Cricetulus griseus: one gene and its partner. The main gene of each other region encodes a partner of the protein of the gene in region 2 in a complex. Links are inferred from orthologs where the notes say so. Each region holds a gene or a part of one and is shown on either strand. Other genes may lie near its edges.

What was found.
Region 1: Arpc2 (region 2) and Arpc5 share a complex: the UniProt entries of both Homo sapiens proteins name them as parts of the arp2/3 complex. The link is inferred for Cricetulus griseus from reciprocal best matches to the Homo sapiens genes ARPC2 and ARPC5.

Annotation. Positions count from the first base shown.
Region 1 is NC_048598.1:38,854,124-38,870,368, forward strand, and holds the end of Arpc5 (actin-related protein 2/3 complex subunit 5), read right to left. Parts: intron 14,409-16,245; coding exon 14,232-14,408; intron 11,447-14,231; coding exon 11,384-11,446; 3' UTR 10,094-11,383; downstream 1-10,093. UniProt on the Homo sapiens protein: Component of the Arp2/3 complex, a multiprotein complex that mediates actin polymerization upon stimulation by nucleation-promoting factor (NPF).
Region 2 is NC_048595.1:427,497,835-427,514,253, reverse strand, and holds the end of Arpc2 (actin-related protein 2/3 complex subunit 2), read right to left. Parts: intron 13,031-16,419; coding exon 12,904-13,030; intron 11,718-12,903; coding exon 11,617-11,717; intron 11,043-11,616; coding exon 10,942-11,042; intron 8,229-10,941; coding exon 8,204-8,228; 3' UTR 7,775-8,203; downstream 1-7,774. UniProt on the Homo sapiens protein: Actin-binding component of the Arp2/3 complex, a multiprotein complex that mediates actin polymerization upon stimulation by nucleation-promoting factor (NPF).

The DNA of each region.
Region 1 (16,245 bases), on a different chromosome or scaffold from region 2:
GTTTCACGCATGCGCAGAGTCCTCACACGGGGTCAGCCAGGTGTATGTCCTAACAGCCATGCATTCTCTGCTATTACGAATAGTTAGCCCTTTAGAGACATAAGCCAAAATATTACTTCCTTTGCTTTTGGTTATGTCATTTTTTTCCCCACAGCAACAGAAAAGTAACTAATACAAGGCTTTGGGACTTAAAGTTCACATTTAGAGTCTTTGTCCTCTAGTTCCGCCATGATAGTTCTCTAGGACTAATGACAGCTTCCCACTTCTCCACAGGATTGTGAAGAAACAGCATATTCACATTTATTTATTTGTGTGTGTGTGTGTGTGTGTGTGTGTGTGTGTAGCTCAGAATACAACTAATGGGACTTGATTGTCTCCTTCCATCACACAGGTGGGTCCTGGGGATGGAACTCAGGTCATCAGGCTTGGTGGCAAGTACTTTTGCCTACTGAATTATCTCAGTGACCTCCATATGCACATTAAAAAGTAATGTTGGGGCTGGGGAGATGGCTCAGTGGAGAAGGGTGCTTGCTGTGTAAGAATGAGAACCTTATTCCAAATCTCCAGAATCTACATTAAAAGCCAAATGTGGTTGAATGCTTCTTTAGCCGCAGTTTTGGGAGTGAGGACAGAGACAGGAGCATCAAAGGGATAAGATGCTGAGTGATAGAGTAGGCAGCCAATGTCTTCCTCTTGCACATGGGCAGGAGTGTGTGCACTTGCATACCCATGTGAGCATTCTCCACACACGTATACCACTCAGGTGCATATGAGTCTGTGTGTGTGTGTGTGTGTGTGTGTGTGTGTGTGTGTGAGAGAGAGAGAGAGAGAGAGAGAGAGAGAGAGAGAGAGAGATCCCGTGGCACACACGCATGTTGTCAATCTTTTCATTGTTTTATTTCATTTATTTATTTATTTTGAGACAGGATCTCTCTGTGTATACTTGGCTGTCCTGTAACTTGCTATGTAGAACATACTGGCCTCCAACTCACAGAGATCCTCCTGCCTCTGCCTTCTAAGTGCTGGGATATTTATCCATTTATTAAAGCAGCATCTTATGTAACCCATGATTGCCTTGAACTTGCTAAGCAGCTAAGAATGACTTTGAACTTCTGGCTCTCCTCTCAAATGCTGGGATTACCAGCATGTGACATCATGCCCTGCTTAACACTTGTATTTTATTGTTATCTGGATGTTTTCCTGTTTTCTAATACCCCACCAAATGTACCCCTGGCTATTAGCATTGGGTGTGCCATGCTGAGCTCTGGGACAACACCAGTTGCTCACTTGGTACAGGCTGGAATCAGGGCAGAAGCTCTGCAGGTCTCTGTTCCTTCAATGCCCCAAAGAAAGGTGGATAAACTGTGAGGGTCCTACGTCCTGTTGTCCTTCCCTCCTTCTTTTTCTCTATATTCCCATCTTCCTGCCACCATCACTTTCTCCCTCCGCCCTCACTTTGGAAATATAATTTACATATACTAAGACACACATAGCACAGCAGAGGTCCATCCCTGATGTAATGCTCATAAAGGTGAGACTGGAAAGGAATCTAAACGGTCACTGACAAATGAGGTGTAGGACATGGCAGAGAAACGGAAAGATGGACAGATGCTGATCAGCAGAGATGGCCAGGCTACTGCACTAAAGTGAAAACCTAAAGAGTTTTTGGATAACCTTTTGTTTGATTTTATGTAACCCTGGCTCTCCTAGAACTTGATATATTGACCATGCTGGCCTCAAACTCACAGAGATCCCCATGCCTCAGCCTCCTGCGTGCTGGATTAAAGACATGTGTCACCCAGTCTGGCTTCAGATAACCTTCTGTAAAAACAATAATAGGACTCTAGCATAGGTATCAAAAAGAGCGAGGGGAGAAAAGCTCCTCCAGGCAAAGCATCACTACCTGAGGCCTCTCTACCTTCCCTGAAGGCTTAGATTCCAACTTCAGCCTCAGGGCATGAGAAGCCTGTCATACAAAGAGCATTAGTTTTTAATGATTAAGTTACCATGCCTCAGGGTTCAGCACATACAAGTGCACAGGAGATCAATTTGTTTTCCTTATATTATTTTATTATCTATTGTCTAACTACTAACACACACACACATACACACACACACACACACACACACACACACACACACACACACACACACACTCGCGCTTGAGGGAGACAGAGACACAGACAGACAGACAGACAGACAGGGACAGGGACAGATACAGAGACTTAGAGGCTTAGGACAGCATGTTTATTTTCACTCAGGAGCCTGGCATGGCTAAGGTGGATCCTCTGGCTAAAGGATCCTTGAAGCTAAAAACACAGAATTTGGTACAAATGCGTATGAAAGTGTCAGAGTAAAATGTACTACATTGTATAGCCAATTGTGGTAGTTTGAATGTAATTAGTCTTCATAATCTCATGAGGAGTGGCATTATTAGGAGGTGTGGCTTTGTTGGAGTGGTTATGAACTTATTGGAGGAAGTGTGTCACTGTGGGGGCGGGCTTTGAGGTTTCCTATGCTCAGGGTACTGCCCAGTATCTCAGTCAACTTCCTGTTGACTGCAAGCCAAGATGTAGCTAGGTCCACGTCTGCCTGCATGTTGCCATGTTCCTCACCGTGATGACAATGGACTGAACCTCTGAAGCTGTAAGTAACCACCCCAATTAAATGCTTTCTTTATAAGAGTTGTCAAGGGCTGGGTGGTGGTGGTGCACACCTTTAATTCCAGCATGAATGAGGCAGAGACAGGCATATCTCTGTGAGTTCAAGATCAGCCTGGTCTACAGAGTAAATTTCAAGACAGGCTTCAAAGCTACAGAGAAACTCTGTCTTGAAAAACCAAAAAAAAAAAAAAAAAAAAAAAAAACCAAAAAAAACAAACAAACAAAAAAAAGAGTTGCCATGGTCATGGTGTCTCTTGCCATCAATAAAAACCCTAAGACACTGACATATGCCACTAATATTAAAAAAAAAAAAAGACACAGTCAGTGGGAGTGGGAGAGATAGATGCCTTTACCATACTGTTAACATTGGTTATCTGGGCACGGACAGAAGGCCAGGCCTTTCATTAGAGCGTTAACATTTTTATTTGAATTGGATAATGATACAGTAGTTTCAAAACTAGAAAAATTTTATAGTCACTGAGTTGTACCCCCAGAAACCTCAAGGCTATGCTAGCAGCAGGTTTCGTTGGTTCTAAAGTGTAGAGAAACAGTAAAATGGAATGGGATGGAAAACGGAGGTCTCTAAGAAGTAGAGGCATCTTCCTTGCCACACACAGGGTGTTGCATGGAGATGACAGGCAGTTAATGATCCCTGGAACCCCTGGCTCCTAGTACTCACACTGTATGTTTCCTTCCTTTTGACTATGGGCTGGACACGTGCTTTGCTTCGAAGAGAGAGATCACAGCAGAAGGGCAGGGATGCCACTTCCAAGATTAGCTGACAGGAGACCACACTTTCTATGCCATATTGGGAGCTACACTGTTGAGAGGTCTGTGTGGCCCAGAGGACAGCCTGTGGGCCACAGTCAAAAGGTACGGATTACAAGTCCTCAGTGCTGCAGCCTATGGACACTGCTGTTCCTGGGGCTTGAGAAAAGGTAGCTCCCACATCCATTCTGTGTTGTGGCCTCAAGCATCCGTTGGCCAGAGGACTCAGCTAATGTCTGACTCCTGGGAGCTAAACAAACATGTTGTTTTAGGCCTCTAAATCTCGTGTGTGTGAGATGTCTCAGAGGTGAAGAGCACTGGCTGCTCTTCCAGAGGTCCTGGTTTCAAGTCTCAGCAACCACATGGTGGTTTACAATCATCTATAATGAGATCTGGTGCCCTTTTCTGGCATGCAGGCATAGTATAAATTAGGCAGAATACTGTACACAATATAGAAGTAAATCGTAAAAAAAAAAAAAAAAAGTAGCATGTGTGTTGCAATCTGTCCCTGAGACCCACAAAGCCATCTCTGTTTGCCATGCTCACCTTCTGCAGAGTCCCTCTGAGTACTCCTGAGCTCTCCTGAGTCACTCTCAGGAAGAAACTTTGCCTATATATTTCCTGTCCCAACAACAGCTGTAATGTGCCATTCCTAAATGGCGGCATCCCAAGGGCAGATGCTTTCCATCTGGTTAGAGTCAACAATGGGTTTAAAATATATCCAAGTTAAGGGACTCTCTTGCTTTTGAATGGAGAACTAAGAAAACTTGGAACTTGTCTCCAAACACTTAGTTGCATCATAGTGCCAGTTAATTAATGAACAGGATTCTGGCTAATTATATGACTTCTGATACCACAATGTTCCCTCTGCCTTGTATTCTTTTTCTGTTCTTTTTCTTTTTGGCAAACTTTCTGTCTTCAAGACCCAGTGGGATGGTTATATATTCAGATTTTTCTTAACAATCACTGTTGGAGAAATAATTTTTGCCAACTGTTACTCTATGTTCTTTTATCATTGCTTCATTTCCTACATGATTTTGGTGCTGCTTATGTGTGTGTTTTTTAGACTCTGCAAGGCAAAGAGCATATCTTAAGTTCTCTATAATCCCTGGCAGGTGTATATTAGCATTAGAGAAACTGCTTTCTTTTTGTAAAATACGTGGCAGCTGGTGCTGTGGTTAGCTGTGTTCCTTAGAAAAGCAAACAGCAACAAGAGACAGAGAGAGAGAGAGAGAGAGGGAGGGAGAGAGAGAGAGAGAGAGAGAGAGAGAGAGAGAGAGAGAGAGAGAAGCAAACAACAAACAGACAACAAAAACCCTTCAAGCCTTCAGAGAAGCAACCAAACTGCTGGGCTTGGTGACATAGGCTGCAATCCTCCCTATTCATAAGGCTGAGGCAATAGGATTTCTAAATCAAGTTGGTGAGTCCCTGTGTCAAAATACAAACAAGAGCTGGGTAGATCAGTGATGGAGCATGTGTGAGGCTCCAGGTCCAATCTGAAAAAAATAAAAACAGAGAAGCAATAACCAAATCTATAAGGCATTATCCAGGACTTCTCTCACTAGTCACCCACTGAGGACTGAACCTGGAGCTTCCCTCATGGGAGGCGAGTGTTCTGTTTGTGAGCTCTGTCCTCTACTCCTTGTGTGGACTGTGGGATTTCATGTCTTGCATTTACTTTTTTTTAGTAATAGACAAAGGTTTTATAAGGGTTAAGCTGTCTCTGCACTTTCTGTGTAGAGAATGGCCTTGAACTTCTGATGCTTCTGCCTCTACCTCTCAAGTGCTGGGATTACAGACATGTGTCACATTTCTGGATTTTTTTAAATTTTTTTTAAATTTTATTTATTTATTATGTATACAACATTCTGCTTGTATGTATATCTGCACACCAGAAGAGGGCACCAGATCTCATAGCGGATGGTTGTGAGCCACCATGTGGTTGCTGGGAATTGAACTCAGGACCTCTGGAAGAGCAGCCAATGCTCTTAACCTCTGAACCATCTCTCCAACCCACATTTCTGTTTTTTACATGGGGCTTCTATATGGAGGCAAACTAATTATATTAGGATCTTTGAATTTGAAAAAGAAATTGCTGGCAAGAAAAATACAAACTTTAAAATTAATCACACATTTAATGAAAACAAGCTTAGATATGTATAAAATGCTAGTTATCTATATAGGCACAAGGAAGACTTTATAGGTATTTACTTGTGAGTGCTTACACTCTTGTTAAAGAATTATATTCTCCGTCAAGAGGACTGCTAGGGAAGGTGGGAAAATTACCTCTACTGGAAAAAAAACTATTAGAAAACAAATGAGTAAAAAGGGAGATTATACAACTATTTGTTAAAAAAGACACTGACCTTTAGCTCAGGCATCAGGTAAAGAAACTCATTAGAGTTATATCTGGAATCTTGATTGGGCTTTTGGGATAAAACTAAATGAAGCATATTGTTTAGCATCTTTGTCTGTTTATGGCACTGTGTTGGCACCATTAGAAGAAAAAATGAAATCTACCCAGGAAAGGTGATACAGCGTCTGTGACTTCAGAGGAGTCCCAGGGGTCGGTAGAAAGTTCAAAGTTCAGTAACCTACAGGGCAGGAACTAAACAGAGCAGGAAGGTCAGGAGCTTTTTAAAAGGATGGACTGGATCAGGTGTGCCATGAACTACTCAGTCTGCTTCATGCTATGAGAACTTATGGAACTGTTCCCGAGAAGTACGAGGTCCATAGAGAGAGCATTTGTGTTCATTATACTAAAGTAGGAAAGGAAGCCCGTAAATGGGTCAGCAGTGTGAAGCAGCACCACCCGCAGGCAGAGCACACTGGCTGAACACATCTGCCCTGAGGCCACACACACTGGCCCTTGATGGCCCTGGAGGTTTCCTACTTCCTCCCAGAGATGCAGGGCTGAGGTGAGGAGGGAGAAGGGAAGAGAGGCTGAGGAAGTGAACACCTTTCTAAATGTTAAAAGGCATTGGTTTAACATAGTATGTCTCCATTCTTGATCCTTTTGGTGTTTTTTTTTTTTTTTAATATTTTGCCTGTAAGAAGTGTAAATAAACCAAATTCTGGTTATGACCAATAATATCTTGGGTTTGGCTAATGACATGAGATTGCTGCCCTGGTTCTTGATAAATGAAAACATAACAAAACTGAAATAGCAGTTTATTAGTTAAAATCCATCATCTATGCAAACAGAACAAAGGCAATATCAAGAGGGTTAGTGGCAGATGCCTGTAAATGTAACTCCACCAGGGAAAAGTGTCTGAATTTACACTCCATGTGGTTTTCTTTTGCTACTTAAAAAAAAAAAAAATCTACACAGCTCTTTTCCTAGGGGTATTAAAATCATACTGAGAGAAAACTACTGAGCTCTTGGTGTTAAGCGGGTCTCTCATTGTAAGACATTTCCAAACCTTTCTTCTGGCTTCTCCATCTTGTCTGTAAAAGGCTCCTGGCATGATCTCACAAGTATCCAAGCACCAATTTGGGGATTCTAGAGAAAACCCCAGTCTTCATCTCTCCTAGAAACAGCTTTCTTCCCCACACAGACTACTCAGCTTGACAACTGCAGCTGCAGGTGTAGTAAGGTGGCCCCATGTTAGAGATTGATATATTTTCTGAGCTTCAGGTCTGGAGGCACGTCTTCAGGTCTTCAGCTTCTCAGGATGGGCCAGGCTTTTCTTTTAAATCCTCCTGTAACTGAGATTCTGGCTTTGAAAATTTAAAGCCACACTACCACAAACCAGGAATGTCTTCAATGCCCTCCTTTATTTTACAGTTGGCATTATATTAATATAAAACCAGTGTTAACTTTGAAACAATAGATGTTTGCTGGACCACGTATGTCTCAGTAACAACACACAAACACAACAGTAGGAGACAGAATTGACCATTCAGAAATATCAAGAATAAAAAGAGTAAAAACCACCTCCCCCTAATTTTATTTATCCGTGTTTACATGTGCACGTGTGTGGGTATACATACCTGTGAATGCAGACCACTGACTCCCTAAACTGGAGTTATAGGTGTTCTGTAGGGCTTCTGGCTTGGTCCTGAGCACTTTAATCCCAATTCTAGGCCTCAGGACTGTGGAATAAGCCCCAGCCACAGAGCTTCCTATCCATCACAGCAAGAATAATTTATTTTATTTTTTATTTTTTTGTTTTTTTGAGACAGGGTTTCTCTGTATTGCTTTGGAGCCTATCCTAGAACTTGCTCTGTAGACCAGGCTGCCCTTAAACTCAGAGATCCGCCTGCCTCTGCCTCCTGATTAAAGGTGTGTGCCACCAATGCAAGAATAATTTTTAATGAACAGCTCTTCATTGATAATTTAAGATGCTTTTTTTTGGGGGGGGTGGTTCGAGACAGGGTTTCTCTGTGTAGCTTTGGAGCTTATCCTGGTACTCGCTCTGGAGACCAGGCTGGCCTCGAACTCACAGAGATCCACCTGCCTCTGCCTCCCCAGTGCTGGGATTAAAGGCGTGCAGCACCAACGCCCGGCTTCAGATGCCTTTCTTATAAAATTTAATTTTTCCATTCTTTTTGACTGTTATAAAATGCAAAAGACTAAATGACCATATATCTATTTGGCTAAAACCACACCAAAAAACACCTCCTGTCATTCCTTCCTGTTTCAAATTTCCCGAGACACTCCTTATGCAAGTGCAATCTGTTTAGTGACTTTCATGGTCTAGAATTTTATTTTATTGAAATGTTAAAACTACAAGAGTGAACTAACTCTCTTAAACATTTTCATTCTTCTGTTCATGTCACCTGGACCCCCTGTCCTTCCCATCCTTGCAAAACTTAGTTTGGATTGATTTGACTCATTGGCCTTTGGTCCACTTGTTTTTTTATTATTATTTATTTACTTATTGATTATGTATACAGCCTTTTGCCTGCATGTATTCCTGCCCACCAGAAGAGGGCACCAGATCTCATTATAGATGGTTGTAAACCACCACGTGGTTGCTGGGAATTGAACTCAGGACCTCTGGAAGAGCAGCCAGTGCTCTTAAGCTCTGAGCCATCTCTCCAGCCCCCACTTGGTTTTTGTTGTTCACCCAACAACAACTGCATTCATAGTCACATGCTAAGTGGCAGGACATCAGTTTTCAAGTACCCAAGACTTACTTCTCAATGCAGGAGAAAGCAACAACGCCCAAACTGCCTTCGTCTGAAACATCTGGATGTGATTAATCTGCATTACTTGCAGTTTTCACCTGTGCATCAATGCATTTCCTGAGGTATTCAGCATGCTCACCCACCACCATTTCCTAAACGGTGCTGCTACCTAGAAATTGTGTTTGTATTTGCTGCGTCTCCCTTTTGGTGTGTGGGGATTAAGATGCAGAACATGCCAACTTCCATCACTACGCTACATGGCCAGCCCTTGGTTTTCTAAGACAGGCTCTTGCCAGCTAGCTCAGACAGGCTCATGATCTGCTTGCCTCAGCCTCGACTGTTGAGACTTCTCCCTGCCTCTGTTCCCTTTTGGAAAAAGAAAAAAAGGTGACAGCAAGCCTGGTATGGGCACACCTGTCATCCCGGGTGGAGGCTGAGGCAGGATTGCTGAGTCTGAGGCCAGTCTGAACTAAAAATCAAGATCCATTTCTCAAAAACAAAGCAGGGTCGCACCAAATCACTCCTAACCACTGTGATTAAAGATGAGCAACAGGCAGAGAGCTGCTTCTGTGGAGCGGGAAGATGGTTGAGGGTAAAGGGCTGCTGTGACCAGCATACCTATTCAGGGGCTGGCACAAAGTCAGACACTGCGGTGTCTGTAATCTCAGCACTTTGGAGGTGGCGACAGGAAGATCCCCAGGGGTTTGTTGGCCAGTCAGTCAAGCCACTGGTAAGCTCCAAGTTCAGTGACTCAAAAAATAAAGTGGAAAAGTGAGTGAAGAAGAATTGTCAGTCCTCTGACCTCCACATACACTGGCTGTCACACAGGCAACTGAGAGCCACTTGTGTGCAAAGTACTGGCCAGCATTTATCTACTTTACTATCCACCAGGGGTGGTGCGCTAGTTACTGTCACCTAGACAGAAACACTTGTAGAGCCCACTGTCCTCAGTTGGCACCCCCTCATTCAATCCTATGCTGTATTGTTGCCCATTTTTACTATTTCTACTTGGTAGAGCTGACAGGCTGACAGATTTTCCCATATCCATTCCAGTGAATATAAAACACGGATTACAGCATTAGAACCCCCCCCCCCCCCCAACACACACACCAGGAGTTAGGTCACAGAAACAGTGTGAGCATGCTCCTAAGTGGTTGTGCTATGCCTGCTTGGTGGCTTCCAATGCGCATTGCTTAGCTTGAGTCAAGCAGGAATTTAGCCAGGTGAGGCCGAGAGCAGAGCTGCTGAGAAGACAGGTGTGAGAAGTAGGTCTGAGGTCTACAAGGGAGAGCTTAGAAGCTGGAGTGACTTTTGCAGCTCCAAGAATTTGGTCCATTTGGTCTCTGACATGTTCTGCTGGCACCTCAGTCACACAGCAGCCTCAGCAGTGCTCTGACATCATTAGTGGCTCTCCTCTGCACCTGTTTCTATCAAGTGACTTTGTACATCCTCCCCTAAGACGGCAGCAGCACCAAACACCCTGCTCCTTAACTAACTGGAGATTTACAAGTATTCAACCAAGAAAAAGAAATTATTCAACACTGACATTTTATTTTCTGAAGTTTATCATAATTTTACAAAACAGAACAAAACAAAAAGCAGGTATCAAAAACAGCAGTTTACAGAATTTCTGCACTGGTTCTCACCTCAGTCAGTGACTCTGGAACTGGCATCTTATGCACAGACTAACCAGGCTGATTCCCTCTTGGCCATGTGCATTCATTCACGTGATTGTTTTGGAACTACTTCATAATAATAACTTTTTACAAGCACCGGTCATTTTTTTGAGAACCAATTTGGTTTGTCCAACAAAGTAAACACATTTTATTTTTTTTCACTGTGTGACATTTTCTTTCTTAAAAAAACACTGAGCTGAAACACAGAATATGTATTTGTTTGGATCAGAACCAAATTTTCTGAGATCCCCATTACCCGAAGAACACTGAAGACGTCATTGGGCATATGAAATATTACAGTGAATACTTGCGTAAATGTCTAAGGCAGCTACCTTATTTCGGAAGAAAGCAGTATTTCATTTAGAGGCTGCTAGAGTTTGAATTACATCAGTTTCAATGTCCTTTCTCTGACTTGGGGTATTTTCCCCAGACAGCCTTATTATCAGAAGGAAAATGTGATGTTTGTGCCAAAGAGGCGCTTGTATTTTGCAAATACATTTATATAGAGCAAGACTCCTTGCTCTGGACCCTGGGTCACCACAAAGAGATTGAGGCCATGATAACTGGATGCTAACAGGAAGTAGCACACTTACATTCACACCATTATCTGGAAGCAAGCAGAAATAAAGCTGGAAATCGGTAGTGGGGCTCACCCACTACTTGCTCTGGAAACACATTTTGCTCAAATAAGGGAAGAGTGGTCCAGTTTTGCAATGTTAATAGCTGCCAGTCTCTCATTTTTAAAAATAAAGATCACTTCCTGACTAGCAATGAGTTAGGAAACTGGCCTCAAATTTGATCAGATCTCTCAGTATTGGTTAAAAATAAAGTAAAACCCTTAAACCAGCAAAAGAGTAAAAATTGCACAATCAAACTTGAATATAAATTACAGAATGGTATACATATTATTGACATGGTTATGAAAGGATCAAACACCCCCCTTGAAACAAAATTTTCTCCACATTATCGAAATTTTCATTAAGGAAACTGATATGTAATTTTCTTCTTTATAAGTATGAAAAAGGAAGCAAGGCAAAGCTGAGAGAAACAGATGCTACCCACAGGGCAGCGGTGCCATTTGGTTGTTTTGGTCTTTGTACCAGCAACTCCCACTTCTGTGAGTGATGTCCAGTTCCAGCTGGACTACACAGTTTTTCTTGCAGTCAACACACGAACAATGGACCCTACCCCTCCAGCAGCAAGTGCCTAAAACAAACCAAACACACAGACAGGGTAATAAAGGGTCAAGTCTCAGATTAGGCAGAATACTGAAATCATTCTAAGCTTCTACTATGTCCCAGGCAGTGCTCAACATGAGACAAATAGTGGTCTTATTATTAGGACTAGGGCATAACAGAAAACAAAGACCAAGGGTTCCTGCCCCCTGTGAACTTACTTCCAAATATACACTGGTCTCTATTCTAGCACACTGTGTCTAAATAATGTTTAAAGATGTCTGCAGCACAATGTTCCTGACTAAAACAGGTGTTCAAATATAAATTCAGGACATTCTCCATCTCCCACCCATATCATGGTCAGGAAAGAACCTTAAGTTGGGACAAGTCACCCCAACTTCCTCTTAGTTTGCAGATTTTCCTCCTAAGGTAAGAAGGTATTACTTAAGAGCTGATGATCTCTAACTTTGAACTTATGAACTTGCATAATTGAGTCATGATTAAATATCAGCAAATTGGAAATTCTGGCTTACTTTTATTGAAAAAATATTTTGAGTACCATTGTGTATTGTGAGGATATGAAAGTAAATAAACATCCTTTGGTCTACTATGAGACAGTTATACAAACAACATTTCGGTATCATGTATGAAGTAGTGTGAGTTATCTTAGGGTGCTACAAAAACAGAGAAAGGGCATATACCTAACCTGACAGCAAAAGATGTTAGGGAAACTTGACAGATTGATACCTGAAAACAGTGTGGAGGTGGGGGGTAGGGTGTATTCAGGGAAAAGCTGAAGCCTAAGAGAAACTGGTACAGGCATCAATGACTGATGAGGATACCTTTGGATTTTACAGATAATGTACCAGTGGCTGGGTAGAGAACAGACTAGTGCAAGGTGAGACTGGTGGCAAGACAGTTAGGATGCTATAGCAGCTATCTTGAGATGCTGGGAAGGGTGCATTAGAGACCTGTACCATCGATGGTCCTGGACCTGTGAGAAAGTCAACTCTCGAGAGGAGACTGGGAAGAAACAGACTTAACACATGGACCACATTCTCACCTACAAGAGCTTTTCCTTCTAGCATTTTTTTTGAGGATTACATGAGTTAATACATTTATAAATGTCTCAGAAGAATGTTTGGACTGTAACAAATTCCCAATCAATGTCACTGTGACCCTGAGGCTATCCTGGACTGCTGTCGGTTGGGCTTTAGAGGTAGGTTCTTCAGCTGCAAACTGAAGACAGAAAGACATGTGCATACCTCAGAGCTACTGAGAAAGAAATGAAATATAAACAAGTGCAGAATCGATCAAACAAAGAGTCCCAAGTGAAATGATCATACAAATTACTGCACGAGTTCCCTTCAGTGAAAGGGTGCTCTGTAATTAGGACGGACACTACACTGGAACACTGTGAGGAATGCCATTCATAAATATTAGCTCTTCTGTAGTGTATGTAAGGTAAAGGGACTCAACTGAAGCCTTTAGTTTTATCTTATATGTGTGTTTTTACTCAGACTTGAGAATGGTTTTAAAAAGTGACTTTGGGGGGCTTGAAGAGATGGCTCACAACGTTCAAAGTGCATCTATGCAAGCCTGGCATGCTGAGCTGGATCTCCACAAAAAGTTGTAGTTAGCATCTGGAATTCCAGCATCTCTATGGGGAGATGTGGCCAGAAGTTCCTAGGCCAGCTACATTTGAAGCATACAGCACAGTAGAAGAAACAAAGAGGAACCCTGCCCGAACAAGGTGGAAGGAGAGGATCCCCTGGAGTTCTGAGAATGTTAGAGAATATGTAGCCCTTTATCTGTTGGATTTTTAATGCCATTGTTTATATTTTTATCATTATAAGAGCTAGGAATGAAAGATTACCTAAAATTACACTTGCTTTGTGTGCATGTGTGTGTGTGTGTATACGTGTACGTACAATGTATGTGTGGAGGTAGCCGTTCCTTCTATCCACCACGTGGGTCCCAGGGAGTGAACTCAGGTTGACAGGCTTGGTGGCAGGAAATTTTACCCACTGAGTCAGCTGGTTCATCTATCTATTGACTTGTTACATAGAACTAACACTAATTTCTTTCCTCTCCGAGACACAGACTCTCAATATAGCATGTTCACTATATAGACCAGTTTGGTCTGGAATGTCTCTCTCCAGAGTGCAGGATTATAGGCATGCACTACCATGCATGGCCAATAACAATTCCTGAAAACCAAACAGCAAAAATACAGTGTTGGGAATCAAACCTTGGGAATGTCAGGCAAGCTCTCTAACCTTTCTCCATGGTCGTTGGCAACGTCTAGTAACTTTCCACTCCTTTGAGCTTGCCTATTTCATATTATTTCACATAAGGAGAAATACCAAGTATTCTTTTGTGTCTGGTTTCATTTAGTACAACATCTTCTAGGTTCATCAATATTGTAGCAAGTATAAAAACTCCATCCCTTTTCATGGATGAATAACTTTCTACCGTTTGTATGTACCATACATTAAGCCTTTCATTTTAGGTTGTTTTTTTTAATTGGTGTAAAAGAAGTCTTGATTTCCATGATTTTCTTTTGAAATTTTTCTTGGGATTCATACCTCAAGTACATAATCAGTTATGTACTAAACATATGCAAATAAATATGCAATGCAAATCAGAATCACTTAAGACCAAGGCTGGTAAGCAAATATGAACTTTTCATTCTCATGCATTTTATTTGCACTAATAAAGATATAGAATCAGGTCTTGTTGTTTTCCAGGTGATAAGAGGTCTTATTCTCTACTACAAAGGAACCAGCTATAAGGACCTGTAGTTTGTAACTTACCTTTTCATGCCACTGTAGTAACATTGCACTGCTATTGTCAGAGGGGCTCTCAAAGCCTTTATAAATATACTTCATTAGGAGGTCCACACCATTCTTATCCAGAGACTGAACAGCCTTTTCAATATCATTAGCTTTAAAAGAGATGAGCACTTTCAAGACAATGCTGCCTGCCCGGTCCTGAGGGTAAATACATAACAAAACATTCAGACACATGTATGCTAGGAACACAATTTTAGAAAGGCCACACTGGAGTGAAATTTGAAGGGTGATTTGGAGGATGTGAAAGAAAACTCTTTGGGAATATGGCCAGTGTTTAGATAAGAACAAGTGCTGTTAGCATGGATTTAAGAGTGTTCAGAATGATCGAAAGACCTGATACGACAGAGCTGAGTGGTGGGAGAAGCAGCAAGGAAGTGAGAGAACAGGACATGAAGACAGAGCACGGGAGGAAGCCTGCAGGCCACACTGCAATGGCTCTGGCTTTCTCTCTAAAACAACAGAGTTTTAAGAGCAGAGACACAATCTGATTCTCATTTTAAGACTATTTTGGCATCTCTGCTGAGAACAGCAATGACAGCAGGAGTAAGATAGAAGCAGGGTGCCCATTAGGGGCAATTCCAAGAACACACGGTGGTTCTGGCTGCCATGACAGGAGAGCTGGAAAGAAGGGAACCCATTCTGCTCACTTGTTTTTGAGACAGGGTCTCACTGTGTAGCCTGGAACTCACTATGTAGACCAGGCTGGCCTTGAACTCACAGAGATCTGCCTGCCTATGCCTCCTGAGTGCTAGGATTAAAGGGCTAGAACACAGTCTTGATAGTACAGAAGGTAGAAGTGGGGATTTACTAATAGACTGATGGGAAAATTTAACAATTTAGTATATCATTTAAAAACTTAAAAAACGCCCAACAAAAGAAGGAAACCGATTTATACAATTCTATTCGGTACTATCTTTCAAAAGTGGTATTTTCTTAAAAGCTCCTGTTTAAAACCATACAAAACTTTTTTAAGTTTCCTAGCTAAGGACATTAGTTCTATCTATGCTCATCTCTAAACTTTCCCTCTGGTAAAGCCTGTTCCAGAAGCAAAGGAATCTCTTTACACATCGTCTAAGCAGAGAGAACACTTAATCAACTCGTTCTACAATTCATTTTTCCTTCTGTTCAGCACACAGTGGTCTCCTCATCATTGCTACTGGCAGGATTTTACAAAACATTTCTACTATCAATGTCATCTTCAGTTTAAAGACTGCAATTTCTCTATTTAGAAAAATACCTTTGTATCTAAAGCTATAAACGCCGCCCCCCCAAAGCTGTCATTGAAAAAAAGAAAAAAAAAGAAAAAAGAAAAAACATTAGGGGTAAAGGGGGAATTTTAATGATGTTCTAACAATTTTTAAAAAGCAAAGAAAGCTTCCCCCCATACAAAGTTTTGTTGCCTTGATAATCACTAATCACTATGCATTTACCTATACTACAATTAGAGTTCTTGAGGTCCTGAGATGTAGACCTGCAGACCACAGGGCTTTGGTGAGCCTGCATTTTAAACAATAAACAACAAAGCAGTTCTATAAGAATCGGTAGAGGACTGACGCAGGGAAGGAAACCACAGAGCTCTTAGGGATTTCACAGTACTTTGTATATTAAAGCCTTAAAAACAATGCTATTTTTGATCTAGCATTTATCTTCCGGGAATTTTAGTGACAGAAATAGTTAAGATTTATCTAAGATTATTCATTTTAGCAGGACAAACTAGGCAATCTAATATACAATAAAAGGGATTGGGTATATATAGAATGTTACATAATGGTGCATTGCAGCTAAAATGCTTTAGAAATAGATTTTTTTTTAAAATTTATTTGACATGCATTGGTGTGAAGGTGTCAGATCATATGGAGCTGGAGTTACAGACAGTTGTGAGCTGCCATGTAGGTGCTGGGAATTGAACCTGAGTCCTCTGGAAGTTAGTGCTCTGAAGCCCTGAGCCATCTCTCCAGCCCCTAGAAATAATCTT
Region 2 (16,419 bases):
AGACCCACTCAACGGCAGTGGCAGTGGGTTGAGAGTCAGGCTCTGGGAGTGTTGTCTGGGGCCGGACTACAGTGGTGCAAGACCCCTTGGGTATGGGGCTGCCAGGAATAAACAGTCCATCCTCTGTTCCAGCCTCCTTCCCCAGAGATTGAGGATGTCTGTTTCTTCTCTGTTCTGTCTAAACACTGTGTGTGGTATGACGTTTAAAGGGACAGCTCAGGCAGTGGGAGCTGGAGAGCCTGGGTTCTGTCCTGTGCTCAGCCCAGCTTCTCCCTTACCAGCTCATCTGCTTCCTCTCTGTCAAGCCCTCAGCCATGATAGTTTCTTTTGCCCTTCCACCCACATTAGGCCGGTGCAGGTTTTCAGATGCTTCTGCTGCTGCCTGTGGCCCTAACCTGCTGTTTTCCTGGGGCCAATCCAGACAGTCCCAGAAGCCTCCTGGACCTCCCTGGTCCACTTTGCTATTTTGTTTTCCTGGGACTGAGTGGGTGGGTTTTATGAGGTCTGAAAGTAGTTACTATGGCTCAGGGAGGCAGATGAAACTTCCGGTACTCTGAATTGCTTTCCCAGTTACTGCTTAACACCCCTACACTAATGAGACAGGGTCTTGGTATGGAGCCCAGGCTAACCTTGAACTCCTGACCCTCCTGCCTCAGCCTCCCAAGTGCTGGGAACCCCAGTTTGCACTACCATACCCAGAGGGCCCACAGTTAAGGCTGACATGGATATACCTTTGAAATAGCAGTTGTCAACCTTCCTAACTCTTTAATACAGTTCCTCATGTTGTGGTGACCCCCCAACCACAACATTATTTTTGTTGCTACTTCATAGCTGTAGTTTGGCTACTGTAATGAATTATAAATGTAAATACATGTTTTCCAATAGTCTCAGGCAACCCCTGCAAGTTGGGTCTCAACCCACAGGCTGAGAACCATTGTTCTAGATATGTAACAGACTAACTCTTGATCCTCCTGCCTCGGTCTCCAAGCGCTGGGATCACTGGTTTGGACGACCACACCCAGCTGGCTCACCACTGATGTGGGTACACCTTCTGGATGCTGTTAAGACTGGCCAGGATGCTGACTCTGAGAAACCCCTATTCAATTGCTGGCGGAGAAGAAACTGCTCTTAATCTGAATCGCTAGATTAGATGGAAATAGAAACTAGTTGAGCACTACTCCATTTTATATGAGACCCTTGAATCTATCCGTCCTCACATACTCTCCCTCAGCTTAGGTTTCAGGGAGGACTGCACAAGGAGGTGTCAGGTGAGCTCTACAGAGAAAGCAGCTGGATGTCAACTGCCACGTTTGGGCATCTACAGAGTACACTTTGTAGATGTAGTAGCTAGGTTAGGCTTGCTCCTTCTGTGTCTAATACACCTCCTCTATTTCTTACTGTAATCTCATTTCCTTTCCTGCTAAACACGTTCCATTAAGATATAGAGATTCCTGCCCTCTCTAATAAAGGAAGGGGAGAGTATACAACCATCTTAGGGAAGGTCTGGAAAGCCCAAGACATAGAAAAGCTTGACTTAAATACCACTATCCAACATTCTAACACCTTTTGGCCCTTTCTGAATGTATGGGGGGAGGCGCTGTGTAGAGCATACACTGCTCTTGCAGAGGACTCAAGTTTGGTTCCCAGCATTCATGTTGGGCAACTCAACCTCCTGTAACTCCAGATACAGAGAGATGCAATGCTTCTAGCCTCCATGGGGACTTGTACTCATGTACACATACCTAAGAGAACAAATAAGAGGGCTATGTTATAGATCTGGAGTGTAGCTCAGTGGTGGCTGGTGGTTGCCTAGCACCCATGAGGCTCTGGGGTTCATCCCTAGCACAGGGTGGGGGAGGAACCCCTCCTATGTATCTGTATATTTGCATCAGAGATGCCTATGCTGTATAACATGTATTTAGGTGTTCTTCCCATCATTTTGAAACTAGGAGTACTAGGATTACAAGTATGAATCACTATGCCCAACTCAAAGTGCATTTTCATTCCCATTTAGTATGTATTATCACGATGTTCCATCACATTTTCTTACATGCATGCAATGCATGACCACCATACTTACTTGGTACCCTCTTGTCCCAATATGCCAGCTGACTCCTGTCCTCTTCCCAACTGTCCTACTTTCCCTTTTCTTTTAAGGAGTCAATGAATTTCATTTGAGTTGTTTACAGGAGCATAAACACTTTACCTGTGGCTAAATCACTAAGAAAATGTCTCTGCCTCATCCAGCCAGCATGGACTTTTGATGTTGGCAAAGTATTGTGGAATTAGACAGAATTTACTATTATAAAAAATTTAACGCCATTATACTTTTCTCCTCCAATTTCTTCTTTTATTTATTTTTTTGTAACAGGGTTTCTCTTTGTAATCATCCTGGATGTCCTGGAACTCACTTTGTAGAGATCTACCTGCCTCTGCCTTCCATGTGCTGGGGTTAAAGGTGTGTGCCACACCTGGCTCCTATAGTGTATTTCTTTAGAAATCTAATGTCTCAGAGATCCCCAAAAGAATATCGGTTATTAGTGGCTGTCTGCCAGCACTATACGGTATTGGGCTTTTGTTGAGACAAGGGCACACCATGTAGCCTTGGCCTGCCTGGAATTCACTGCATAGAACAGGCTAGTTTTGAAATCACAGAAATCCACTTGACTCTATTTCCCGAGGACTGGGGTTTATTATTTTTAAACATTGTGTGTGTCTGTGTGTGGACACATCCACGTAAGTGGGGGTCCCTGCTGAGGGTGGAAGGGTTGGATACCTCTACAGCTGGAGTTACAAGTAGTTGTGAGCTGCCTGTCTAGTGTGGGTGCTAGGAACTCAAATCCTGTCCTCTAGCATATGCGTTTGGTTTGTTTGTTATTTTTTCCAAGACAGGGTTTCTCTGTGTAACAACCCTGGCTGTCCTGGAACTAGCTCTATAAACCAGGTTGGCCTCAGACTCGGAGATCCTCCTGCTTCTGCTTTCGAGTGCTGGGACTGCAGGTGTGCACCACCTGGCTGTTGTTTTTTGTTTTTTTAATAGGGTTTTTCTGTGTACTTTTGGTTGTCCTGAAACTTGCTCTATAGACTAGGTTAGCCTCAAACTCAAGAGAGATCCATCTGCCTCTGCCTCCTTAGTGCTCCAATTAAAGGTGTGAGTCACTACTACACGGCTTTTAATCTTTAAGTTCTCTTTCAAGTCTAGACCCTATATTGAAGACACTACTAATACACTTTGTTTAAAGGACACAGAGAAATCGAGGAGGAACTAAGCCAGAATGATCTTACCCAGCTAAAGACCATATGCGCCACAGTACTAATCCACAAGGCAAGACATGGGCCAGCAGTATAACAGTGCATGATCATTGTGGGGGTAACCAGCTACTTTGATTGGCTAGACTGCACTAACCTGGCAACATAAACCTGATGGCGTAATACAGGGAACCAACCATAGTTGTTTTCTCCCAATGAACTGTTTTCTAAATATTTTTACCCACAGGCTGTTAAGCGCTCAGCTGGGGTCAAAGCAGTTCATTTTTGTAGAGGATGGTGGTTAATGGAGAGGCTTGTGTCAAGAGACTGATGGATGCCCAGCCTTAAATTGGACATGTACACTAATCCCTGCCTCCTTTCTGTGGCTAAGGCCTGGGAGACATAATAAAAGATGAGGTAGTATGAATGAAAATGGCCCCCACAGGCTCACAGAGAGTGGTATTATTTGAAAGTATTGGGACAAGTGGCCTGGCTGGAGTAAGTGTGGCCTAACTGGGGGAAGTGTGTCATGGGGTTCAGCTTTGAGGTTGTAGAAGACCAGGCCAAGCCCAGTGGCTCACTCTCTCTTCCTGATGCCTGGGGATCCAGATAGAGAACTCTCAGCTACCTCTCCAGCACCAAGCTTTCTGCCATGACAATAATGGATTAAAACTCTGAACTGTAAGCCAGCCCCAATTAAATGTTTTCCTTTAAAGACTTGCTGTGATCATGGTGTCTCTTCAAAGCAAAGAAACCCTAAGACAGAAGTGAAGGCAAAAAGAATTCAAGACCTGGAGCCAGACGTTGGTGTCACATGCCTTTAATCCCAGCACTCGGGAGGCAGATCTCTGTGAGTTCAAAGCCACCCTGAGAGCGAGTTCCAGGACAGGCTCCATAGCAATACAGAGAAACCCTGTCTTCAAAACAAACAAACAAACAAAACAAACAAAAAAAAGAAGATGGGGAAAGAGTATCATGAAACACTGCCACCCAGGTCTGACACTGCTATTAGAACCACAGACTCAGCGGCTTTGGATACCTGCATAAGACCTCTCTCCAACTTCCCGTGGACCCTCATCCTTCCTTAAGGAACTGATAATGACTGCTAGTAGTTGCTGGGAGAGGGTACTGTTTTAATAGTCTAGCCACTAGGAGACTAAGTAGGAAAAAATAGGGTTTAGGGGGAAAGGAAGGTATACCAAGGAGTAGTGGGGTATGTGTGTGTGTGAAAATAATCTTCATTGGGAGCATGGGGGTAGGGGAGAGGGACCTGGGAGAAAGAGAGAAGAACAGGAGGGGAGAGGAGAGGAGGAAATGGGGGAACAGGAAGGTTGAGCTGGGGGAAGAATATAGGAGAGCAGGGTGAGAGATACCATAATAGAGGGAGCCATTACAGGTTCGAGGAGAGATCTGGCACTAGGGAGATTTCCAAGGATGACACCAACTGGCAATCTAAACAATAGTGGAGAGGCTACCCTAAATGCCCTTCTCCTATGATGAGATTGATGACTACCGTATATGCCATCCTAGAGCCCTCATCCAGTGGCTGATGGAAGCAGAGGCAGACATCCACAGCTAAACACTGAACTGAACTCTGGAACCCAGTTGCAGAGAGGGAGGAGTGAAGAGCAAAGAAGTCAAGACTGGGCTGGTGTGCCGGGTGGTGGTGGCACACGCCTTTAGTCCCAGCACTCGGGAGGCAGAGGCAGGCAGATCTCTGTGAGTTCGAGACCAGCCTGGTCTACAAGAGCTAGTTCAAGAGCTAGTTCCAGGATAGGCTCCAAAGCCACAGAGAAACCCAGTCTCAAAAAACCAAAAAAGACTGGGCTGGTGAAACCCACAGAAACAGCTGACCTGAACAAAGGAGAGCACATGGACCCCAGACTGATGTCTGGGAGGCCAGAATGGGACTGATCCAGACCCCTGACTGATGTCAGTGAGGAGGCCTTGGAACTCTATGGGGCCTCTGGTAGTAGATCAGTATTTATCTCTGGTGTAAGAAAGGACTTTGAAGTCCGTCCCATGTGGAGGGATGCTCTCTCAGCGTGGACACATGGGGGAGGGCCTAGGCCCTGCCCAGGAAGATATGACAGACTCTGGAAATCTCCCATGGAGGGCATTACCCTCCCTGGGGAGCAGAGGGGGGATGGGGTGGCATGTTGGTGGGGGGTGTGGGGGAGGAGGGAGGGAGCAGGAATTGACATGTGAAGTAGGCTTGTTTCTAATTTGAACTAATAAAAAATAATTAAGAAAAAAAGCAAGCTGTCACTACTGCCAAGAATGCATAGAGAGATCCAGAGTTCTTGTTCTAAAATCAGCAAAAAGGCAAATGTTAGCCGGAGTTGGGTAGCGCAAAACTGTCATCCCAGAACTTGAAGGCACATGCAGGAAGACTGCTAGAAGTTTGAGACCAGCCTGGGCAGAGTGATGCTTTGTCAAAAACTAAACCAAACCAAAACAAAACAAAAAAAATGGAATGAAAATTAAAGTAGTTGGTCATGGTGGTGCATACCTGTATTCCCAGCACTTTGGAGGCAGAGGCCAGCCTGGGTTAGATAACTGGATCCTGTCTCAAAAACAGAAAGGACAAAAACCCTACCAAAACTACCTCTGAAATTCTCTTAAATAAAATACCTCTCAAGATACACTCCCCCCCTCCCCCTTTTCTAACCTCCCAGAAGGAGACCAGGAGAACCTACGGGTCCCTGGAACCCCATTTCAATTAGGTTAGTCTAATATTGGAACAACTTGCAGTATTTTAAATTTGACAATGGATGGAATAAATAGTTCTCTAACCCTGGTCTGGTGCACACTTATGAAAAAAAAATCCCCAATTGATACTATGTGTGATACAGTGACTGCTCTGATTGCAGTACTCTGCTTTTAAAAACAAATGCTGGTGTTCAGAAAAAATCCTAGTGAGAAAAATACACAGAAACACACGACAAAGGCACAAACAAGTGTTAAATAAAATTGATTAAATGTGAAGAAAGTGGACACATAAAATATGTCATTTTACTGGTGTGATACTGGGCTACAATCACTCAAGTTGTCACCACTGAGAAGGTGACAGGACCTTGCTTTATTATCTCTAACATGCATGCAAACAAATGTATCATTATCTGAAAAACAAATTTGTAGAAAATAAAAGTGCTGTCACATACAGTCAGGTGGCAACACAATTCACTATGACTGTCAAACTAGTTTGAAACACAATGCCTGAAATGGAGACAAAAAAAGAAAAAAAAAAACAAAACAAAAAACAGCCTTCAAATCATTCTGAATACCCTCAAATTCTCAGGACAAGACCTTACAAAACAAATTTTATTTTTGGCACCAATATCTTGCTAGGGGACAGCACACTTTGCTAGGTTCCCAGGTATCTATCTATTCCGCAGGCACCTCCTGTGAGCTTTGTATAGTACTTCCAATCCGCTGGAAGGTGAGGGAGTGTGGCCTCACAGCCAGTATACATTAGTTCCACACTGGAATACCCATCAAGGACCTGAGAACCCCATTACAGGAAATGCCCATTAATTACGATTGAAGAACAAGCAGTTTGAATTCCAGCGCTCACTCAGAAGCAGAGGCAGTGGATCTCTCAGTGAGGGCAGCTGGACTACACAGTGAGATCCTATTTCAAAACCAACCAACCCCCACATAAATCCCAAATCTCTCATACACACACAGCCTAGACAGAAAGCCTTCCTTCCTTCCCTCCTTCCATCCATCCATCCCTTTCTTTTTCTGAGAGGATGTCCCACATGGCCCAGATTGGTCTTAATGCTTGTATACCTGAGAATGACCTTTAACTTCTGGTCCTCCTGCCTTCATCCTCCAAGTGCTAAGATTAAAAGGTGTATGCCATAGCAGATGGAGGGGTGGCTTAGTGGTTGGCACTTGTTGCTTCTGTAGAGGTTGGACCCAGAGAGCAGTTCAAACCCACCTGTAACTCCAAAGGATACAATACCCATTTCCTTACCTGGTGCATACACATATGTGTGTGTACATGCAAAACATTTATGCACATAAAAATATCCAAGCCTAGTTTATGTGGGGCTGGTGATTGAACCAAGGGGTTCGTGAAAGGTTAGGCAAGCATTCTATCAACTGAAGTACATTCCTAGCCCCAGAAAACCTTTTAATTTGCCTGTCACTCTAAGGGAGCTTCCTGGCTACTCAGCTGGGTAGTGTCAACAACCACGCTTTACAATGTGAGAAGCATGTTCAAACAAACAACAAAACAAAGGTGGCTTATTCCTAAAATTCCAGAACTCAGAAGGCTCAGCATGAAGATTGCTGGAGAGTTTGAAGCCAACATGGCTATAAAGTGAAACCAATAAAATGAAACACAAACAAACGAGCTCCCACCACCCCACTTACAATTTACAAACCAGCCCTTCCTTCCCATAGAGAAGAGAGGCTCCAAACTCTGAGGGCTTGCTGGTTGCTGGTTCAAGGGCAGTGCAGGTCCACCCTTTTCTCTTTTGGACTCACAGTCCAAAAAACCCAGCAAATGCTCTAGTAAGATAGAAAGATTTTCTTTATTAATGACCCCAACCGTATTTCTTTAGATACAGGAGTTTTGAACTCAAATACTTAGAAGAAAACAAGTTAAGACTGCATTATCTGCAACTCATTACCAGTAACATATTGCAAAGCAAACAGCTTGGAAAAGGGTGAAAAGGAAGGGAAGTGAGGGAGGGGGAAAAATAAAAGAAGGGAATTAAGTTGATCGAGTGGAATTTTTTTTCTTTTTTTAAATTCTTGGGAACTATGAAGTCCTTGCAAGCACAGCTCGTTTCTGCAGGTTATTTGCCAAACTCGTACAAAATGGAACCCAAACGGAGAATCCCTTAAGAACCTGGAGAGGTGCAACATGAAGGGCTACGATTATCCAGTAGCAAGCGGTCCAGCCTTCCATCAACAGCGCTTCCTCCTCAGTTCCCAAGCGTTAGCGGGATGAAAATGTCTTCCCCCTTTGAAAACAGAGACAGTGTGAAGGCTTGTCCCAGATAGCCTCTCCTTCTATCCTACATTTGACCTGGGGTGGAATGCCCAAGGGACACTAGACAACGAGGGAAGGGAGAGTCTTCAAGCAAAGGTGCTGGAGCCACAGGTGTCAGTCAAATCCAGCTGTAAAAGAATAGCTTTGCTACCTTTCTTCTGACTCAATACTAAGTAGCACTATGCCCAGCCCTTCAGGACACTGGATGTTCCCAGCAGATGGGAAAATTGTCTGCAATTTTTTTTAAAAGATGATGTCTCAGTGTGTTCCTCAGATGGCCTGGAACTAGCTATGTACACTAGACCTGCCTCTGCCTCCTGAGTGCCAGGTAAAAGCATGTGCCACCATGCCCACTTTCTCTAGTTTTCAGACAGCTTAGATAAACCTGAATTTCTGCTCACCGAGGCTCCTTCTACCCAGCTGATCCCATTTAGATAACAATCCCTTAACCTTTCAAGAGGAGGTAGGAAATTCAAAGGCATCTTAAAAACATTAGCCAGGTGTGGTACACACTTTATCTTTGAAAAGCTAAAGACATTTCTGCTGTCATGTTGTAAGTAGACTCTGGCTCATAGAACACTTGGCTGGTTCTGGGTTTTTGAGCTGTGGTGTCCTCTTCTGCACAGTAAATCCCCATAGGGGTTACTAGACCCCCAAAGAACCTGCAAGTGGTTCCTACCCAAGGGTATTTGGTAAAGTAGCCCAGAATGAGAACTGAGGACTATAGAAGAGTAAAAACCGCTCTCCATGTTTCCTGCTTATCCTGAGACAAGCAGAGTACTGCAGAATGCTGACTCTACAGGCAGCTCTAGTTCAGGACCATACCTATAGCAATAGCAGGCCCAAATTATTTTAATCTGTCCACATTTAGCAGGATAGAGTCTTTTGAACAACTAAATTTACTCCTGTGAAGGACTCATCTTTCCTCAGGTCCCCCATCAGGGCACTGATCAATTCCTGTCTTTGTCCAATTTGGCAGTAACCACCAGGAACACGTGCTGGCCACAGAACAGACTGATGAAGGGACTGTTACCAGGGTGAAGACAGGTGATGCAAACAGTTCCAGGACTATTTTAATATCCCACTTTTTGACCTTTCTGTCTGGTTTTATTTTTCTCTGCTTACTTTGTATGTGTGTCTGTGTAAAGGCCAGAAGTCAGCACTGGGTGTTTTCCCTCAATGGGTCAATTGGTTTTCTTTCTTTTTTTTTATGGAGACAAGGTCCCACTCCATAGCTCTGGATGGCCTGGACCTTGCTATTTAAACCGGGCTGGCCTTGAGATCACTGAGATCATACCTCTGCCTTCCAAGTGAATCCTGGGATTAAAGATGTGTGCCACCGTGCCTGACTCTTCATCTTATTTTTTGAAACAGGTTTCTCACTGAACCTGGAACTCAGTGACTGCTGAGACTGGCTGGCTAGAGAGCTCCTACAATTCACCTGTCTCTGAGCCCTCTGTACTAAGGTTACAGGAATGTATCACCATGCCTAGTTAACATGGGTGATGGGGATCCCAGCTCAAGTTCTTAAGTTAGCACAGTGGGTGCTTCACCAACTAAGCCATCTCCCAGCCCACCTGCTTGTTTTTGGAGGTAAGATTTTGCTAACGTTACCCAGGTCGGCCTCAAACTCCTGGGCTCAACCTATCTTTTTGCTTCAGTCCCCAACAGCCTCAGTAGCTAGGACCACAGATTCATGCCACAGGCTGGTGGTTCTGACATCCAGAGCAAGTTTCTCTTTCTATCCCAGGTCACACAAGGGGCACTTTTGTAAAGACAAGGTGGGAAAGGAGAAACTGCAGGCACTAGGATACAGGGTCTTAAAAGGACAGAAAAAAAACAAGTGCCTCCCTGGACATAACCATACTCTCCTACCTCGTCTACAGCTTTGCACTTTTTAGATATGCTATGCAGCTGCCACAGCATGACATGACATCCAATTCAATCTCTCTACAGAGGTCAGATGGAATACCAACCTTTAGGCTGTAGGTGGCAGCATTGACAGTCAGACTTCCCACCAAGCACACAGATGCTTGATGTTCCTGTGACTGAAAAGTCCTTGCCTACTTCTCAGGACTCAGTGGAACGCTCAATGTCAATGGAGTTGATACAGCAGCACATGCCAGGAGCTGAAGGTGCTCTGAACGCCTGCCACCCACACTAGAGTGAACGCTCTAGGTCTCCCACCACGCTGGCCCCTTGAGCAGAGTCACATTGCTTACTGCTCTGCTTGTCATCTTTGTTCCTGACCCAGGCAGCCTGTGCCCTGTACACCTTTCCTGCCGAGAGCAGAGCAGCAGAAAGAACAGAGGTATTGCCTCCAGGCCTCTTCAGATAACTATGTCCTCAAGTGATTGACTGACTCCACCTCTCCAGGAACACAGAAGGGACCTCTTTAAATTCAAGCCCACAAAGAATAGATTCTTAGTTTAAGGGAAAGGGGGAGGAGGGGTTTCCTTTTCTTTCCCTGTCATTCTTGTAGCTCATAAAGACTGTGGAATGGAGAAACTCTTCCTGATGCCCTCAGAAGGGAAGCCCTTTTCATTACACTTTCACTCTGGTAGCTTTAGGCTTGGCCCTGTTGGCCTCTTTAGTAGCCTGTGTGCAGGCATCAAATCAGGACCAGCAGCTCCTTCTTCTGAACTGAGGTGGGAAGGGGGTGGGGGTGGAGTCCTCCTACTTACGTGATTGTTTTCATTTCTTTTTTCTCGGCATCTGGGCGTGCACGGTTGAGCACCTTAAGGAAGTCAGATGTTTTTGCTCGCATTCGTGTATGAATATAGGCCTAAGAGCAAACACAGGAGGAACTGAAACAGGCCCATGTTCTAGAGAAATAGCTTTGCTTTCATTGGGATGGAGCCATGGAGTATGTTAAGGAGCATGTAAGGGAGGGTGGGACCGTCAGGCAGCAATACCGGAGATACAGACTCACCCCTCTACTACAGGCAGGAAGAGGGGAAGGGGAGAGGGTCATTTCTCTCTCCTACTGTGGGGCCAAACTGGTATGAGGAACATGCTAGGCAAGTGTTCTACGACCGGCCACACCAAGAGATACCAAGAAATGATTTCTTCAGGCTTCTAGAACATTTTTTTTTTTTTTTTAGATAGAGTTTCTCTCTGTAGCTTTTGAGCCTGTCCTGGACCTAGCTCTGTAGACCAGACTGGCCTTGAACTCACAGAGATCCACCTGACTCTGCCTCCCAAGGACTAGGATTAAAGGTTTGTGCCACCACCTCCAGCACAGTAAGTACTCTTAATGGCTGAGCTCTCTCCTCTCCCCCCCCTTCTTCCCAGCCCCATGTGCCAAGTGTCTACTGAGAGTTAATCAACAGGCTGGTAGAGATGCTGGTGCCCCTCACCTTAGAGCACTTAATGTGGTAGTGCAGATAGTCCCGGAACGTGTGGATCAGGTTGATGGTGTTGTCTCGAGCAGTGGCATTGGTATGGCGAGGGAAGAGCACTAAGGCAGGAGAAACAAACAAAGCATTAGCAGTGGTGTGTGCACTACCATCATAGACAACACAATCATGGGAGTGCCACAGTGAAGCTCCAGGCACAAAACACAGGTCTGACTCTGGGCACTCATTCCAAATCTTGATTCTATACTGAACTCTAGATTCCAGCTTTGTTTAGGACAAAGCTGCTAGTTTTGGGTCCTTGGTGCTAAAGCATAGGCTGTCATGTAAAACTAGGTTCCAAAGAATACTTATCTCCTGTGCATGAAAACCAAACATAAGGTAGGCTCAACAGGGTGGCTACTTTCAACCCAGAGGCTCAGACTGTTGTACTGCAGCAGACCTGCCTTTGGTCTCCAGTTCTTACCATACTTGTTTCACTAACACCAAGAGCCCTGTGCTGAAATGGCTAAAATGGTTCTCAGTTTATCCTGGCTTAAAGGGCGACAGGGGGGATGAAGAACATCAGGCCATGAAATGTGTTCTATTCCAAGTTTACCATGATTTATGCACATAAAGAAATGCTCTCAATGAAATTGACATGCCATCAACTGTAAGATACACCTCAACTTCAAGAATCATGTGGAAGGAAAATGTATTCACCAGCAACAAACACCTACACCTTTAGCTTAAAGGAGAATTGCAGGAGATGTTCTTGTAGCTTTGCAGCATGGAAATGAGCCGTCAGCTGCCATCATCAGGCAGCTCATAAAGCTGACACAAGTGAAGCTTGGTATCTTCAGTGGAAGAGAAGACTCAGCAAATCATGGCTGAGAGCAGGCATTGGAAGCAAGCATTGTAACATGACAGAGAACTCTATTCAGCGGCCAAGCAATGCTGACATGGCCATCCTGGAACCAGAGCTTACCTTTCTTACCATTTAAGAAAAACCAAAAGCAACAGAAAATGATTATTGCAGCTAAATAGCACCCAGCTTGCTTTGTAATCAGTTCCCTGTGACATTCCTATCACAGCTTTGAAAAGGCAACACAAACATGTTGGTATGCCTACTTCTGCCCTCTAAAAAAGTTGGCGAAGGCTGTCCAGATTTAAGCATTCTGTCATGTGAAAGAGGCAACTCCACTTGCTGATGGAAGGGCCTGGGATGCTCCGTGTAGTGCTGAGGACTGAACTCAGGGCCATGTGTGTCTAGGCAAGCACTCTATCACTGAACTACCTCTCCAGCCTCACCAAAGGTGATGTAGCCAATGTTGTCACCCACGGCAGCATCTGTGTCTTTCAGCTCTAGAGGAGGTTCCCTGTGACTAAAAAGGACCTGGGGGGCTGTGTGGCTGGCTCTTCGTCCTTCTTTGAATTCCTGTGGAGATACAGCAAGAGAAAAATTCATGATTCGAGTGGCACCTTACCCATACTATGTGCTCTGACCTTCGTAGTCCTTTGGACCAGAAAGTAACTAAAAATGAACAGTCAAATTCAACTACATGCCTGGTGGTGGTGGTGCTCACTTTTGATCCCAGTACTCAGTAGGCAGTAGGCAGATCTCTTAAGTTTGAGGCCACACTGGTCTACAAAGTGAGTTCCATGACAGTCAGGGCTAAACAGAAAAACTCTGTCTCGAAAAACCAAACCAAACCCCCAAAACCCACCTAAGCTACAGAGTGCCAGCTGCTTCCACTGCACTCTAGATTCAAAAGGGAGATGATAGAGCACTGAACAATCTCCATCCTCAGACTGTGACACAAAGCACTGCAGGACAAGCCCTTTCCCCTTTCTCTTATTTTGGACTAACATGGCAAAAGGATGTCAGTCAAGGCAGAGTGGGAAGACTGCCTCAGAAAACAAAACTTAAGATAAGCACTGCTGCTTACTACTCCCTTGTGTATACTGTGAAAAGGAGTTCTTTTTTAAGGAAATCGTTAGAGTTTCATGGTGACTAGTACCAGCCTTTAGCTAGAGTTTTAAATAAATTATGTGAACAATTTCCCACTGCTCCCTTGGTCCCACTTCTTTGCAGTTTCTTGCTTTCCTTCTACCCATGTCCCCTTGCCCCCACACCCCCACCCTGAGACAGGGCTTCATGTGGCTAGGCTGGTTTTAAACTTACTAAATAGATGAGAAGAACTTTTGGTTGTGAGTGTAGCCTTTAACGGCCGAGCCATTTCTCCAGCTAATGAGGACTTTTAACTCCCGATCATCGGGCCTCTACAACGTCAGTACACCCACACCTCATCTTCTATTTCCAGTTTCATGAATGCCATGCTTTTACTGGGTGTTGGGCCTTTGATGACACTGTTTAACATACTCTTCATCTATTACTATTTAGAATTCATCAATCAAAACTCTAAAGCAAATTTAACCCCTCCCTGGTGGCTAAAGATGATAGAATGAAAGAAACTGAGTTATCTTAGGAGGGTAGGGCAGAAAAATCAAGTTAGGCTAGCATGGGTTATGTAGAAAGACCTTCTCCTAACCCCTCCCCCTGTAAAAACAAACCCTAACAAATTCTAGTAAGCCAGGAATAGTGGCACATGCTCATAATCTTAGATTTTGGAAGGTGGGGGTAAAAAAAAAAAAAAAAATCAAGAGTTCAGGTCATCCTGAGCAGTTCAAGGCTAGCCCCAGTCTACAGGAGAGTCTGTCTCACAAAACCAAACCAAACACCCCCTCGCCCAAAATAAAAGCGCTCATGATCCTTAGCAAAAACACAGTGCTTATCAAACTATAAAAAAGGTCTAGAGGAGAAAAAAACAAAGCAAAACAACAACAAAACCAGACTATTCCTCCTATGCTTAATCCCCAGGCACCCATGCATTCCTATACAAAGAAATGAGTAAATATGACATCCTTCTCCTGGAGTCCCAGCAATGACAGCAACAGATGCAAGGCCTTGAATTTACTCCCTAGAAACCCGCCCCCCTTAAAAAAAAATAAATAAAAAAAGACTCAAATCCAATGGGTAGACTGAGTGGGTTTTCTGAAAAAGGGCAGCTGCATGAAGCTAAGGACGGTGGTCACACAGCCATATGATCAGAAGGGTGGCTGCTGTTGCTGCTCACACCTCTTCTAGAGTTAGCATCTAACACCTGGGGCAAGTGGCTGCTCTGGTAGCTACTATCCCTTCTTTGCAAGCATTTCTTCATTATCCATTAGGGTGTCTGTCTTCCCTGCCAGGCTGAGTTCCTTAGGTCAAAGCTCCTGCTTTTATTCCCTTTTCTCCTCTGTCCTTCAAAGACAGAATAGTCCTGCTGAGTAAAAGAAAACACCCTTGGCCCTGCTCATGCAGAACCACTGTAATGAGATCAAGAATTTAAGATCAGCCTGGCGTGGTGGTGTAGGCCTTTAATCCCAGCATCTAGGCAGAGGAGGGCAGATTCTCTGAGTTTGAGACCAGCCTGGTCTACATATAGAGTTCCAGGATAGCCAGGGCTACATAGTAAGACCCTGTCTCAAAAAACATCCATGAACAACAAAACCAACAAAAAACAAACAAAAAACGAAGAATTCAAAGTCATCCTTGGCTACATAAGATGAGTTCTCTTCCTCCTTCTCCCCATTCCTCAAGAGATTTAATCAACACTATTTCTGCAGTGGGAAATTGCCTTTAGACAACTTGATGTCTTTGCTTCTCCCTTGCTCTCTCTTGAAATAACAACAGCAATCAGCCCCACCAAACAGCCCCAGTCTTCATTATTAGCCTAGCCGTCACATAAAAACCAACCTGATTGTTAGGATGTCGGCTGAACACCAAGTACACTATTACTTTTTTTAAAAACATTTATTACATTTCATTCACTCTGTGAGTGTGAGCATCTGGTCTACTGCACATATATGTGGATTAGAGGACAACTTTAGGAAGTTAGTTATTTCCTGCCACCATGTAGGACCTTGGGATGGAACTCAAATCAGGCCATCGAGCTTGTGATTTTACCATGGCACTATTTCTTTCTTCCAACAAAGTACAATTTATCCTGGGGATAAACTGTGTATGATAAAGGTAGCATCTTAAATTAGCCTAGCCTAGATTTAGTCCACTTCTTAACTATTGCATTTAATTCCCATTAATTATGCAAACAGTATTATGGAATGTCTGTCTAGGGGCTTACCTTTAAGAGTCATATATGCATACCCTCTTTTTCTTCATGAAGTCCAGTACTATCAAATGCCAAAGTGTCAATATTCCACTTTTCACAAAGGGACTCCCAAACAAGAGTTATTGATCAGTCAGTCCCAAAAAAAGGCATTAATGAGGATGGCATTTTGACATTTTCCCTTGCTAGGTAGAAGGTCCATACATAAAGCCTCACTGTGGTAACCACAGCTTCTTTTAAGCCTCTTTTGGAAGGGGGGGGGTGGTGGTAGAGATTGTACTTTAAAATTTTTTTTTTTCTCTGAAAGAAAAAAAAATTGAGGCCTAGGCCATCTTGCAGCAATCCTCTTGCCTCAGGCTTCTAAGTGGTTGGATTAGACGCTGGGCAATAAGCCTGTCTGCTTCAGAATTAAAAACAAAACAAAATAAAATCCATCATTCTGCCAGAGAACAGGAAAATGTATTAAAGCTTTATATTGCAGTGTGAATGCTTATCCACTTCAGAAGGCAGCAGCCTGAGTATCTCCTGATCAATAAGCTCTCATGTCTGAGAGCCAGTGACTGGCCAGCAGGCAAAATGACACAGTCACAAGGGGTCTACAATATGCTGAGTCCCACTGCACCAGAATCCCAATGACAAAATGTTCTTCTAAATCCCA